Caenorhabditis elegans: one gene and its partners. The protein of the gene in region 1 interacts with the protein of each later gene in a pairwise test. Each region holds a gene or a part of one and is shown in the gene's direction. Other genes may lie near its edges.

Region 1 (4,383 bases):
TTCTATTGAACAAGACTATTGAAGCCAATGATGGTTTATTTCAGCTATTTCAAATAAAAATGTTATACAATTTTATTTTTCAGGTGCATGGAAAGAGCGGCGATTCGAATTTCTGGTTGGTGAAACGTTTTTGCGCACGAGTCTAGCTGAATTCATCGAGGAATACGAAGTGGAAACGGTAAATTTCATTTAAAAAAAGTTTAGAGTTTTAATAAAACAAGCTCTGCAGGAAACAATCCTTAAAGTGGAATGCGTAATTGGAATTGAAGCTCCAAAACCACTTCATGATATCCAAGCGCCTGATTGGGTTTCTTCGGTACAAATCGCAAACGGCCAGTATGTTTTTTCCGCTTAATGTTTGGTAAAAGTCTCATTCTGAAATTTTCAGCATTTTCTCAACAACCTACGGAGGAGACATTGTAATTGTGGATCGTAAAGGAAAAGAGACAAAGTTGGCTGTTAATTCAGCAAATCGTCTTTTAAAGTGCATCTCAATCGTCAAAGCACCATCTAGTCAGTTTTAACACTAGTTGAAATTTAAAAAAACGATAATTTTTGTTTCAGAGAAAAATCAATTGGACGGTACAGAATTTGTGGTCGGCGGTGAAAATCAACTGCTGACTCTCTATGCAATTGAAAAAGGAGCACTTGTTGAGAAGGTTAGGTGTTCGAATTTCGGGGTTATCAGTTTTATCAATAAATTTTGTTTCGAAAATTCTTTTTTTTTATTTTGCAGTCATTACTTCATTCTTAATAAAAATTTTCCAGCTCATCCTTCGTGGTCATGAACGTGCCGTCGAATGTGTTTCAGTCAACTCGGATTCGACCCGTGCGATTTCTGGATCAGTCGACACAAATCTCAAAATTTGGAACTTGGATGCATCTGATGAAGCAACAACATATGAGAAAGAAGAAGAAGAAGAAAGTGCGAAGAAACGCCGAAAGAAAGAAACCAAAACTAAAGTTCCGATGGTTACGATTGGAGGGCATCGTGACAAAGTATCCGCAGTCGAATGGTGTCCATGGAATTCTGGACACGCATTTTCGTGCTCGTGGGATCATACTATTGTTGAATGGGATTTGGAATTAGGTTAGTTCTAATGATAAATATCCTATTTATATACAAAAAATAATTTCATTCAAGCTGGTGAAATTTCGCGGATCAAAGGACCCAAATCATTCACAAGCATTGATCTTCATCCGAAGAGTGATCTTCTCATCTCCAGTTGTACTGATGCTATTCCAAGACTTTATGATCCAAAAAATAGAGGTTTGTTTGTTAATATTTATTTAGTCTCTTGTATTTATAAAACATTTCAGATGGAAGTATGGTTAAACAATCATTCATTGGACATCAAAATGGATGGGTTGAAGCTGTCAAATGGAATCCGTTGGATACAAATCAATTTGTTAGTGTTTCCACCGACAAAACTGCGAAAATGTGGGATGTAAGGTAGGTCTTGTTTCAAAAATTAAAGAACCATTCAGTTTTTACTTTAATATTCGGTTTGTTTCAGATCCTCAAAGTCTTCATTGTTCGACATTCATGGACACGATGATCGTATTTTGTGTGCCACGTGGAATGAAGGACTAATTGCAACTGGATCCGCAGACTGCACAATCAAAATCTTTGAGACTGCTTGATTTGTTTTGTTTTTTGTTATTCTACAAATTCTTATATTGTTTTTTTTTCTATATACCGCGTTTTCTATTTGTTGATTTTGATTTTTTGTTGAACTTTTTATGAAGTTATCCACTTGAATTTATTTTCCATTACCTTCTGACAGTTTTGAACTGTGTTAAATATTTCAATTATTTTTCTTTCTTCAATTTTTCATTCAAGTATTTTCAGAATTTTTCAGTGAGAATCAAAACAAAAGCGTTGCAAAATGGGGAAGGGTTTTCAAAACTTCATGTCCAAAAAGGACTTCCATCCATCCGCTTTTCGGAATCTCAAAATGGTCTGGGAAGCACGACAGAAGAAGTCTTTGGAGGACAAACGACAAGAAGAACTTCGAGTTGCTTATGAGAAAGAGCAAGAAATTTTGAATAACAAGTATGTTGCATTCAATATCTTCTCACTAGATTATAAATATTTTTCAGAGCTCTTCTTGGAGACGAAAAGGCCAAAATGGGATTATCGTTCATGTATGATGCTCCAGCTGGAATGACAAAGAGAGAAGAACCGAAAGAAGAGCCGAAATTCGAATGGCAACGGAAATATCAAGCACCACGTGAAGATTGGGCTAAAGGAAATGAAGAGATCCAAGATCAACCATTCGGAATTCAAGTTAGAAATGTTCGATGCTGTAAATGCCACAAATGGGGTCATATAAATACGGATCGAGAATGTCCATTGTTCGGAAAATCTGGAAATTTTGAAGATGAAGGATGTAAGTTTCCGAAAAAAAATCGAATTAAATGTGTAAAATCAATTTTCAGATGCAAATAATCCATCAGACCTAATCAAAGATCTTCGTCGGAGACGACAGGAAGGCAAAGCAGGACCTTCAACATCGAAATCGTCTGCTGCTGCGGCGACAGGAGAAGATGACGATGAGGATGAGTGGATGGATCATCAGCAACTTGCGAGTGATATGCGTGAAGAACATGGAATCAAACTCAAAAGTTCTGTTTTGGCTGGAATGCAGACAGATCAACAGCTAACAAGAATGAAAAAAGAAATGACCGAAGAAGAAATGATGCTGGAGTTTTTCAATTCGATGACTGAAAAGGAAAAAAAGAAATTGCATAAGAAGCTGATGAGCGGTGCAGATTTGGAAGATGTAATGAAGAAGAAGAGTAAAAAAGAGAAGAAGAAGGAAAAGAAAGAGAAACGGAAGAATAAAGACAAGAAGAAAGATAAGAAGAAAAATAAGAAGAGCAAATCTCGTGAAACTGATGACGATTCTGATGGCAGCGATAGTGAGGATGATTGGAAAGGTATTTAAAGATGAGGTTTTTACATAATTAATTTGATCCTAAACACTTGTTCATTGATATCAAATATTAACGAAACGCTTAGAGTAGTTATTAGTTTCTCGATTTTTCAACCAGTTCATGTTTCAGAAAAATCATCGAAAAGGATCAAAAGAGAAGTGGAAAGTTCTCCGGAATACAGATCGAAGTATATCAAGCAGGAAGTTTTATCAGAAGACGAGAATTCCCATGGAAGAAAGGATTCGAGCCGAAAAAGAGCGCATAATGATTCAGAATCGTCAAACGAAGTAAGATCGTCAGAGAGGAAGAGATCTCGAAGAGATGATTCTCCGAACGCCAAAAGAAGTATCGGGTTGAAATCGCCGGAGAGGAGAAGCTCACGAGATCGGAAATCTTCACCCAAACAACGTCAGGATTCACCAGTGAGAAGACGGCGAAGTCCATCGTCGATTCGGAAGGAAAGTCAGCGTGTTCGTAAACATTCACCAGAACAAAAAAGAAATGGCCGTCATGATTCACGATCAGTGTCCCCTGTTAGAAGACGTCGTTCTCCGTCTCCTGACAATCGTCAGCTGGGTTCGAGAAAACAATACTCGCCACTGCGACGTCGCCAATCATCTCCGATGGTTGCATCACCAAGAAGACGTAGATCTCCATCACCAGAACGACAGCGCAAGAGACGTTCACCATCCGATTCCCCGCCAACAAGGCGTCTTTCTACGTCACCGATCCGACGTCGTAGAAGTCCATCGCCCAACAAGTTGCCTGTGAGAAGGCGTCGTCATGATTCCGGATCGCCTGATCGTGATGGATCTGAATCACCGAAAATGTGGAGAAAGAAGTCGCATAAATGAACGCTATTCAAATCAATTTTTAAAATTATTAAATGTGGTTTTCTTTTAAATTTTTTCCGTCATGTCTAATAAAGTATTTTCACACATTTTTGCTGTTTATAAATTTCTTGTATTTGGTGTTTTATAAATAATATTCTTAAGAATATTCTTCAATGGAAATGTTTTTATCTCTCATTGCGATACTTCTAAAATCCGCAATTGCGTCAACGCACGAGAATTGCGCCAATGAAGATTCTTAGCGCGGAATTCGTGCTTTGTATTTTATATAAATAAAATATATTTTAGTTTTCATTATTTCTTCCATTTTCAGCTTGTTTCATTGAAGTCTTGCCATTCACTATGGACACTAATTTCAAGGTAATTATTTGAAGCGTTAATTATTCAATTAATATTCCACCAAACCCATTTTAGTTGTCCAATTGCATTGGTACAGTGTATCGAGACGGTCAAGTGGCGTTCAGCAAAGATGGATACTCAGTGATTTCACCTATTGGCAACAAGCTATCAATTTTTGATCTCAGAAAGTAAAAAATAATTTTATATTCACATTTGATATATAATTTTTCAGCAATACTTCAAAAACATTGGA
Region 2 (4,964 bases), on another chromosome or scaffold:
TGATAAGCCACAACTGATAAGCTTTAATTAGCCAGCTTCATTGGTCCCTACGGAACAGCTTCATCTATGCGAGGCCTAAAGATGCATTCGTTGGTTTCATTCGAATCGAAATTCTGAATTACTCCTAATTTTCCCCTGATTTCGAATATCTAAGGGAAAAAATTCAAAAATATTTCGGAACTCCCACGATCAAGCGAGATGGTATCCGGCTGGATTTAAATATCTTCTGATTGGACATATTGGGGGTAATGGGGATTTGATGAAGCTTATCTTGTTATGTAGGTTTAAGTTAGTGGGAAACGAAAAATTCAAAGTAAATTATCAAATTTTTCTGTAGAATAGGGATACGTTTTCTATTTATGTTCCTTTGCTTTTTCATAATAATATAAATAGCCTTTTCATTTTTCTCCACTCATATGTTAATGCAATGAAGACAAAAAATCATGTTTCCTTCCGCCAGATCTTTAACACAAAAATACGAAACATCCTAAGAACAAAAAGACGAAGACAGAAAATCAAAACATGTGACAGCTCATTGATCCGCCCACTTTTTTTTGTTGATATTTCGACGACATTCGGTTTTGCTCCGCCTCTCACAAAGTTTTGTATAAAATCACAGCGTCTTGGACAGATTTAGTTCATCCTTCTTTCCTCATACCGGGTATCTATTTATTTTATTCCAGCTCACCGTGATGTGTCCGAAATTACGGTAGTTTGCAAAATGCATACACTAGAGTAATTCATGTGTCTGATGCCTTAACATTTTCAAAGCGATGCTAGGAAAAATTGTCAACTGACAAAGTGTAGCGAATCTCACACCTGTTCCTGGGCATTCCTCTTTTTTTAACAAGTCGGACGATCGAAATTAGGTCTTTTCTGGTGTCTTTTAACATCACATATTCCTCTCCCTCCCTTTCAAAATCTCCCCGGCAATTGTTGGCTCCGTTAGTTTGGGTATTGTGCCTCAGATTTGCCTTGAATTTGTTAGTTTGCACATTTCTATTTTTAATTTCGAAAAAAGTTACACAGATCGAAACCACAATTGAACAGCTTTTCCTTTTTCGTTACGGTTAGAAAAATTCATAGGAAATGAATTTGTTCGCTGTAAACTTTTTTTTCGTATCTTCGTTTACGATAAAGTTACAACAATGAACTACGCAATGAAACAGTTGTCTTTGGTGACCTGGAAAAGGTCAGCTGTTATATATAACGCACGGAAATACGGAGATTAGGAAATAAACGGAAACTAACTTTTTCATAATATGTCGTTAATTATGTTAGTTGCCAATTTTCTCTAGTTTTATTCTGAAAAGGTTAGACTGTAATTCATCTTCAATAACCGAGAAGTTATAGAAGTTCTTACTTATTGATTTAGTTTAACCAACTTACTTGGTAAACTAACTTTCAGTTCCCAGCAACACATTTCAGCCAATTTTAGTGCCAAACATCTAGAAAATTTGTTCCATATTTGTAAAATTTTATAAAATTGGAAAAAACCAAATAAAAACTGAGTTAATTTGGCTATTTTCAATGTTTTTTGGTTTATATATTAGTATGAGAGCGATGGAATTTGCTGCTCCTTAACACCAAATTCGAAAAACACTCTTTTAAAATTAATTTTTCTTTCCAATCATTGAAAAGCAAAAAAAACTGTGAATTGTATTAAATCTCCCCTTCTCCATTTGAAATACCGCGCATTTCACCAACAATGGCCTAGAACCACCGGTGGCCGGGAGGCCATGGCCGAGTTTTGACCTATATTGATTTTTCCTTAGCAACCGGTTGCGCAACGCGTTTTGAAGTGTAAACTCGTGGTTTTTGATGGTTTTTCTTCGCGATTTTTACATTTTTCGTTTAAAATCGTTCATTAATCGATTTTTGTTCAGATGAGCAAAGATGTATCAATCGGGTGGATGTATGAAGGCGCTAAAGGAAATGTACACCGAGAAGACTATTTACTCGGAAAGAAAGTTGACAAGAACTTTGAAAAGTATTCCGATGTGGTGAATGCGCAGAAAGCAGAAGCAATCGATTCGATTGTTGGGACAAGGTGAGTTAAAACATTAGGAAATTGATTATTAGCAACAAAAAATCAATTTTTAGTTTTCAGGGCTGTCTTCAATTCCGGACAATCAACGGGTTTAAAAACTTCTTCACTTCAGAAAGATATTATCAAATCCGAAGATCCATTTGTCGCCGTCAAGGTTCGAGAAGAAACAAAACGTCGGGAAATCATGGATAATCCTCTCACAAAAATGCGACTTCAAGCCGCGCTGAAAAGTATGATGACCTCAAAAGCAGAGAAAAGTAAAGAGAAAAAGAGTAAAAAAGACAAAAAGAAGAAAAAAAAGAAGCGATCGTCGAGTTCCAGTGATGAAAGCAGTGATGAACGGGTAGAAAGAAAAAGAAGACGCTCGCCATCGCCGAAACGAAGAAGAAGACCCAGCGAGAAGCCCAGAAAGCGTTCTAGATCGCCCAGAAGAGAAAGACCAAGATCTCCAAAGCGATCCCGTGAAGAGTCCAGGTAAAAATTGACAATTTTGATATCAATTTATCACAAATATTTCAGAAAATTGTCCCGGAAACCTTCCAGTTCTCGATCGAAATCTCCAAGACGATCCCGAGAGGATCCCAGGTACGCATTTGTCGAGTTTTTTTTCTCATAGAAGATGATTTTTTTCCAGAAAAGTTGCCAGAAAGCCATCCAGATCTCGATCAAGATCCGCAGAGCGACTCCGCCGGAAATCCAGGTCTCCGAGGCGATCCAGAGAGGAACCAAGGTAGAAATCGCCGGTAGTTAGTCTAAAACTTCGTTTGTTTTTCAGAAAAATGTCCAGATCCCGCTCCAGATCTGCCGACAAAGCGAGCTCTTCAAGACAGTTTGATTCTCACATTCCACGTCACCTGCAGCAGCAACGAAGTCGTCATGATTCGAGCTCAGGCTCAGAATCTGAGCACGAAACTCGGAGCAGTCACCGCCGCCGGAATAGTGATGATGACGAGCGACAGGATCCGAGAAAGAAGTCATATGGCTTGGTTGAGGTGAATTCGCTGTTCTAAACATTTTTCTTACAGGAATTTTTAGTGAACTAGCATATTAGATTTTCCGTCAAAAAGTGAATTTTGCATGCTTTTTCAGATTTTTTCCTCGAACAATTCGAGGATTAACAATAATTTCAGTAATGCTGATCCTTTTTCAACAGTTTTCATCCCAATTTTATTTTTTTGTCACATTTTCACGAGGAGTTACAGGAATTTTCTGATTTTGAAGTGATTTTCTTATTTTAACACCTATGTTTGCTCATTTCTAACACAATTTACTTTCATTTTGCCCATTTTCCGTCATTCTCAAGCTATTTACACGTGAAAAAAGAAATCATCTGGAAATGACATATTTACTTCGAAAATCTGTATTCTCATTGAAATTGGTCAACAAATTCACTGATTTTATTTTTTGCTCCGTTTTCTGAAGTGGAAATGTCACGAAATTCGGTTTTTGATCGAAAAGCTTAAAATGAGAATCCTCCGTGTTTTCCCCATGATTTCTTGGATTTTCTATGCTTTCAATTCTATAGATGAAAGGAAACTATTGATTTTTTGACTCCAAAATTGAATTTCTTATATTTTCTCAGTTTTGAACAAGAACGTTATTTAAGTTTCAAACCATTTCCAAGTTATTTTTTGCGAAAAAATGCTAAAAGTTAAAGAAAAACGAATATTTTTCAATTAAATTTGTTTATTTCCAGATGCGAAAGCGAACAGCCGAGGAACGTGAAGAAGAGTCACGGGCGCCCACCAAGGAGTACAAGCTTGTCAAGATTCCCACAGGACGTGGTACCGGCAATACGCCAAGAGAGCCGCGACGAGCATTGAGTGAAGCAGAGAAGGCGGCTCGGCTCGCCGAAATGCAGCAGGACAACGTGAAATGGAGGGACGAGATTCGCGAGAGAAATGTCACAAAAGGACGGAAAGAGGATGATGAGGAGAAGGAAGAGGCGGATAAAAATGGATATGCTCCATCTTTTATTAGGTTTGTATCGAACGGCAGAGAAGAAAAGTATGCAGTTATTAAAGTTCTGGCTGAAATGCATGGTTTTGCATCATTTCCGTCTTTATTTATTCCCCAAAAGCTAGAAATTCCCTATTCCCCATGCATTTTTATCAGTGATCACGCTGGTTTTCACTTGGAACAAGCTTTTAATACAAAAACTGTGAAATTTCCTGTAAAATGTATTTTTTAATTACAGATCTCAAATGCGCGAAGCCTGTGACGATATGACAGTGGAGAAGCGTCTACAAAGTAATAAACGCGGTGTTCAACGAGCACACGGGTATATGGATCGGAGTTTTGCGAAGAAATGAGCAAAAATTGTTATTTTTAAACTCCCATGTTTTGTTGATTATAAAATATTGATTTTCTTGTTCTTTCCCTCACTTTCTCTTTTTTTATTATGGAATTCCGGTCGCAAACCGAGATTATTATCTTTTTATTGCTTTATTTTATTTTTATTCTCTTAATAATCATTCCAGCAAGTATCTCAGCCATGTTTAATGGCGGCTATGGATCTGGAAACAGCTTTAATCTTCAAAACTATGCACCAATCGATCCGATGAGTGAGTTCAACTTTCCACCTTTTTCTGAAATATGCCTTTGTTTTTGTTATTTTTCAACGGTTTTTATAATATTTCTATTCGTTTGAAATTGTTGAAAAATCTGTTCTGGTACTCTTTTCCTAAATTTTCTGCTTGATTTTTTGCTGAAAATATTTTTAAAATTAATTTTAAGAATGATTTTCGCTTTGGAATTCGGAAAAAATCTAATATTCGTATGATTTTCTTCAGAAAATGTTTGTTTCGAAATCGGTTACATTTTTCACTTTGAAATCCCGAAAAATCTTTCTAATCTGTGACCGAATCAAATTTTGATTTTTTTCTCGGAAAATTTAACAAAAATAAATCTAAAT
Region 3 (5,688 bases), on another chromosome or scaffold:
GTGTACCCGTAGTTAAAGAAGCGGAGAAAGATCATATGAAATTCGGAGGGTCGAGGCGATAGAGTATTGCGAATCGAGAATCTTTGAGAAAACGCGCGAGTTTTGCCGCAGCGGCGACGTGTCGCCAATTTTTCCAAATTTGAGATAATTTGTAGTCCGAGTTTTTCCACCTGCTGATTCTAGTGTTATAGCTTTTATATGACGTTTCATCCATCTGTTTCGACAATACAGTAACCCGTCGAGAATGAATATTCGGTTCTCTATTTAGCTGCAATTGAATCTTGAAAACACAAAAATTTCAAATTGAGCGAATGTGTGGCTGAGAACCAACGTTCACTCCCTTGCTATCGAAACTGCACCTGTTGCGATTTCGTGGCGAGACCCGAGGAAATACTCAATTAATAAATACAACGGTGTCAATCCCACATTGACTGATCTTGCAAATATCTTTCTTCATTGTGTCACTTTTTTTCAGAAATGCAGTTTTTCCATTAGTTTATAGTGCCCAGCGAGTAGTATATCCTCAGAAATGTTGATCCTCATGATTATAAGGTCATTATCGTTTCAAAACATGAATAGTCATAACTTTTCTCTCACAAACTTTTCGAATGTATCCTAGAACTGCTGAATCTCACAGAAACCTAAATTACGAAATCAGGTTCTAATTTTTATCAAAAATTTACAAACCTACGAGAATTCGATTTAACTTGAGAATGAAGAAAGACGCCAACTTCAATTGAAATGCACCGAATTTAGTTCAGGTTACTATCATTTGTATTCTAGATGCAAAGGAATTCACACTTCCAGCTGATATAGCGCTGATCCTAACACGATCCTTTCAACATCTTAGATTTTCGTTTAATGTTTAATCGGAATTTATATTTAAGGCCTGTAGAAATTTCCTAGAAAACGCTATAGAAATATTTAGCTGATTCTCAAGTTTTAGGAACGGGCGTCTTCCTGGTAGAAGATAGTTCGCAGCCCATAAAGACAGCACCCGGCCTAACCGACAATGGCGGTTATGAATTTTTAGACCATTTAAGGTTATGATGGCGAGACCACAACAACCCGTCGCCACGCACGTCACGCTCACAAAACACTCATTCATGCGCTCACGGAACGCTCACACACTCATGACATACACACATCATTTCGCCTCACACACCGCGCCGTCGCCATCCGCACCGCCCGGGTGGGACGTGTTCAAACTTTTCGGTTTTCGTAATTAATAGTGAGCCCCGGTTTATTCGCTTTGAGAATCAGTATAATGGATATATCAGATTGTGTAATTAGGTTGCGTGCTTGAACTTTTAAAATTAACTGTTTTAAATTTATCTGCCTTTATCGTTACAGTAAATCATTTTGATGAACTTTTCGGATGAATCATAATGAAGTACGCAGCGCTCTAACAAAATGTGTTTGTAAATTCCAATTGCTACAAGTTGCCCGGCTTATTTTTTGGTGATTGAAGCATGATTCTGTTGACGCTCCCGACGCGGAATACCAGGACGGACCGATGAGAGAGTACTGCCAGTGAAGAGACGCATGCGAGCAGGACGAGTGCTGCTCACCCTTCTTCTCAGCGTCGGCGGCTGCGACCAGCGGCCGAGGAAGGGGAGGAGAGAGGCCGATTTGGCTGCGTACCACGTTTGATACTCAGTCACTTACCACAGCTGGTTCTCTTGTGCGTTCAAATCTGGCTTGCCGCGCGCGCGCATTTTATTCCTACCAGTTTGAATCTCCCACCTCTCCGACTGTAACTGTCCTAATTTGCTTCCTTCTCATCACTCTCTCTTTGCCTATTTCTCACTATCTAGACTCTATTTTTCCAGAATGGTCACCGCCGACGAGACGGTACTCGCCACAACGACCAACACCACTTCCATGTCTGTGGAACCAACGGATCCGAGAAGCGCTGGTGAATCGTCCTCAGATTCGGAGCCAGACACAATTGAGGTGAGGAAAAGTTTTGGGAATTTAAATCTGAATAAAACGTTTTCAGCAGCTGAAGGCAGAACAGCGCGAAGTGATGGCCGACGCGGCGAATGGTTCCGAAGTCAACGGAAATCAAGAGAACGGAAAAGAGGAAGCGGCATCTGCAGACGTGGAAGTGATCGAGATAGATGACACCGAAGAGTCTACGGATCCCTCACCTGATGGATCTGATGAAAACGGTGATGCTGCATCTACATCGGTTCCAATCGAAGAGGAAGCGCGTAAAAAGGATGAGGGGGCTTCCGAAGTGACTGTGGCATCATCTGAGATTGAACAAGACGATGATGGCGATGTTATGGAAATCACTGAGGAGCCGAACGGAAAGTCGGAGGATACTGCCAACGGAACAGGTGTGTTTTATAATTTTACCAAGTTTAATTTTAACTTTCTATTTTCAGTTACTGAGGAGGTGCTAGATGAAGAGGAGCCAGAACCTTCCGTAAACGGAACAACTGAGATCGCTACAGAGAAAGAGCCAGAAGATTCTTCAATGCCTGTCGAACAGAATGGGAAGGGTGTGAAGCGGCCTGTCGAATGCATCGAACTCGACGACGACGATGATGACGAGATTCAGGAAATTTCTACCCCTGCCCCAGCTAAAAAAGCTAAAATTGATGATGTCAAGGCGACAAGCGTTCCAGAAGAGGACAACAATGAGCAGGCGCAGAAGAGATTGCTCGACAAGCTGGAAGAGTATGTGAAGGAGCAGAAGGATCAACCATCCAGCAAAAGCCGAAAAGTTCTGGACACTCTTCTCGGAGCAATCAATGCGCAAGTTCAAAAGGAGCCTCTGTCGGTTCGGAAGCTGATCCTGGACAAAGTTCTCGTTCTCCCAAACACAATATCATTCCCACCAAGTCAAGTTTGCGACTTATTGATTGAGCACGATCCCGAAATGCCTTTGACGAAGGTTATCAACAGGATGTTTGGAGAAGAAAGACCAAAGTTGAGTGATTCCGAGAAACGAGAGAGAGCTCAGCTGAAACAACATAATCCTGTTCCAAATATGACAAAACTGCTCGTGGACATTGGACAGGATCTCGTTCAAGAAGCTACCTATTGTGATATAGTTCACGCGAAGAATCTTCCAGAGGTGCCAAAAAATCTTGAAACCTATAAGCAAGTCGCTGCGCAGTTGAAACCAGTTTGGGAGACATTGAAACGCAAAAATGAGCCGTACAAGTTGAAAATGCATCGATGCGACGTCTGTGGATTCCAGACGGAATCAAAGCTGGTTATGAGCACTCACAAGGAGAATTTGCACTTCACAGGATCCAAATTCCAGTGCACCATGTGTAAAGAGACGGACACGAGTGAGCAAAGAATGAAGGATCACTACTTGTAAGTTTTTTTTTTTTCATCTTTCAATATTCATTTAATTACAGCGAAACTCATCTTGTTATTGCAAAATCGGAAGAGAAGGAGTCCAAGTATCCATGTGCAATCTGCGAAGAAGACTTCAATTTCAAAGGTGTCCGTGAGCAGCATTACAAGCAGTGCAAGAAGGACTACATTCGCATTCGAAACATCATGATGCCGAAGCAAGACGATCATCTCTATATCAACAGATGGCTCTGGGAGAGGCCCCAATTGGATCCCAGCATTCTTCAACAGCAGCAACAAGCTGCTCTTCAGCAAGCTCAACAAAAGAAGCAACAGCAACTTCTGCATCAACAGCAAGCAGCACAAGCTGCAGCCGCTGCGCAACTCTTACGGAAGCAACAATTACAACAGCAACAACAACAGCAACAGGCTCGTCTTCGTGAGCAACAGCAAGCGGCCCAATTCCGGCAAGTGGCTCAACTGCTGCAACAACAATCAGCGCAGGCTCAACGTGCACAGCAGAATCAAGGAAATGTGAATCATAACACTCTGATTGCAGGTAATAGCTAAACATATTTTAAATAAGTATTTTGTATAATTATTTATATTTCAGCAATGCAAGCGTCGTTGCGTAGAGGTGGTCAACAAGGAAATTCGCTGGCAGTTTCTCAACTTCTCCAAAAGCAAATGGCAGCTTTGAAGTCGCAACAAGGAGCTCAACAACTTCAGGCTGCGGTGAACTCCATGAGAAGCCAGAACAGTCAAAAGACGCCAACACACAGAAGTTCGAAACTTGTTACTACGCCGTCTCATGCTACTGTTGGCTCTTCTTCAGCTCCCACGTTTGTATGCGAAATTTGTGATGCGTCAGTGCAGGAAAAGGAGAAGTATCTACAGCATCTTCAGGTAATTTTAAGAAACGTTTCTATTTCAATTTCAAAACCGATTATTAAATATCTTAAACATCACATTTTCAGACTACTCATAAGCAGATGGTTGGAAAAGTGCTGCAGGACATGTCGCAAGGAGCTCCACTGGCATGTTCTCGATGCCGTGACAGATTCTGGACTTATGAAGGGTTGGAGCGGCACTTGGTGATGTCGCATGGTCTCGTCACTGCTGATCTGCTCCTCAAAGCGCAAAAGAAGGAAGACGGAGGTCGATGCAAGACATGCGGCAAGAACTATGCGTTCAACATGCTTCAACACTTGGTAGCTGATCATCAAGTGAAGTTGTGCTCGGCTGAAATCATGTACTCGTGCGATGTGTGCGCGTTCAAATGCTCGAGTTATCAGACTCTGGAAGCCCATCTCACTTCAAATCACCCAAAAGGAGATAAGAAGACATCAACACCAGCAAAAAAAGATGATTGTATTACTCTGGATGATTAATAGGAAAACGAATGGCTTATCCCGTTCTACGAATGAGTGCTGGAAACATTCTTCACAATGATCTCAATTATTTCTCTTATTCTTTACATTCAATCATTTTAAATCACCAGTTCTCCCACTTTCATTGATATACACATTCTATTGCGGGTTCCGGAACCGAAATCAATCAGTACTTTACTTTATTTCCCCAATTTTTCTCTTCATGATATCTGGTTTATTCTCGCATCTTCCCCTACCTTCAAAACTCCCTATTTTTTTTTCAAAACCTAACTACCCCACAATTATCATGTAAAATCAAATTGCAATTCCCCATAAGACAGATCAGTATACACTTTCACTTCATACGTCTGTTGTTCTCCCCCATCTCATACTTTTTTTACCATTTGTCCAGTTAAGATTTTTGGAAGATATCTATCATATAAATATTATCACCTTTACAAACCATTCTTTTTGAAACTATTTTCAGAAATAAGATTCAGATTTTCTCATAATATTTGGAGGAATCTATTTCAACAGATACGAAAGATATTCAGACAAATGACAGACTCCGTTGAAATCTGTGCTGCTGTCATCACCGGTTTTGAAAAAGTTGCAGCAAAAGAGGTAAATCCTGAAAACTAGATAAAATATCTTACTCGAGTTCCTTCAGATTTCAAAATTATTTTCGCCTAAAAAATGCCATCCAGGACGTGGAAATGTAAGATTTTCAATAGATCTGGAACGTGTAAACGAGACTCTGCAACTTCGATCAATCGATAATCTTTATATGGTTTTTTATGAAGAAACAATTGAAAAGCTGTCTGAAATGCAAAAAGAAGATGCATTGAAAACTATTCAATCGCAAATTTCATTTTGTAACTGGAAATTGGCAATTGAAGCTTATCAATTGGCACGTGGAAACGCGATTAACGGAGGAAGTGAAAAGATTTTGAAACAGATTCAACAATTTAAAAAAGATCGAATATATAGTGAAGTTACG

The links. Proteins that work in one complex are often made in the same cells at the same time.
Region 2: the proteins of cir-1 (region 1) and mog-3 interact in a two-hybrid assay, tested with the Caenorhabditis elegans proteins (one study listed by BioGRID).
Region 3: the proteins of cir-1 (region 1) and mep-1 interact in a two-hybrid assay, tested with the Caenorhabditis elegans proteins (one study listed by BioGRID).

The regions. Positions count from the first base shown.
Region 1 is NC_003279.8:5,653,327-5,657,709, reverse strand, and holds cir-1 (CBF1-interacting co-repressor CIR N-terminal domain-containing protein), read left to right. Parts: upstream 1-1,852; 5' UTR 1,853-1,889; coding exon 1,890-2,056; intron 2,057-2,103; coding exon 2,104-2,393; intron 2,394-2,442; coding exon 2,443-2,943; intron 2,944-3,069; coding exon 3,070-3,794; 3' UTR 3,795-3,882; downstream 3,883-4,383. Other genes in the region: wdr-12 (Ribosome biogenesis protein WDR12 homolog), read left to right, coding at 1-33, 84-178, 230-336, 389-513, 565-659, 769-1,090, 1,145-1,270, 1,321-1,453 and 1 more; F55F8.3 (Periodic tryptophan protein 2 homolog), read left to right, coding at 4,134-4,151, 4,206-4,318, 4,363-4,383.
Region 2 is NC_003281.10:5,306,716-5,311,679, forward strand, and holds mog-3 (Pre-mRNA-splicing factor CWC25 homolog), read left to right. Parts: upstream 1-1,886; coding exon 1,887-2,050; intron 2,051-2,110; coding exon 2,111-2,524; intron 2,525-2,569; coding exon 2,570-2,635; intron 2,636-2,684; coding exon 2,685-2,780; intron 2,781-2,825; coding exon 2,826-3,042; intron 3,043-3,746; coding exon 3,747-4,030; intron 4,031-4,247; coding exon 4,248-4,362; 3' UTR 4,363-4,421; downstream 4,422-4,964. Other genes in the region: Putative RNA exonuclease pqe-1, read left to right, coding at 4,545-4,614.
Region 3 is NC_003282.8:11,522,810-11,528,497, forward strand, and holds mep-1 (MOG interacting and ectopic P-granules protein 1), read left to right. Parts: upstream 1-1,832; 5' UTR 1,833-1,833; coding exon 1,834-1,956; intron 1,957-2,002; coding exon 2,003-2,345; intron 2,346-2,393; coding exon 2,394-3,336; intron 3,337-3,380; coding exon 3,381-3,877; intron 3,878-3,931; coding exon 3,932-4,224; intron 4,225-4,295; coding exon 4,296-4,709; 3' UTR 4,710-5,145; downstream 5,146-5,688. Other genes in the region: thum-3 (THUMP domain-containing protein), read left to right, coding at 5,247-5,312, 5,359-5,688. UniProt on the Caenorhabditis elegans protein: Has a broad role in development, specifically in the genetic pathway SynMuvB that negatively regulates specification of the vulval cell fate. Required for fem-3 3'-UTR-mediated repression in the regulation of the sperm/oocyte switch.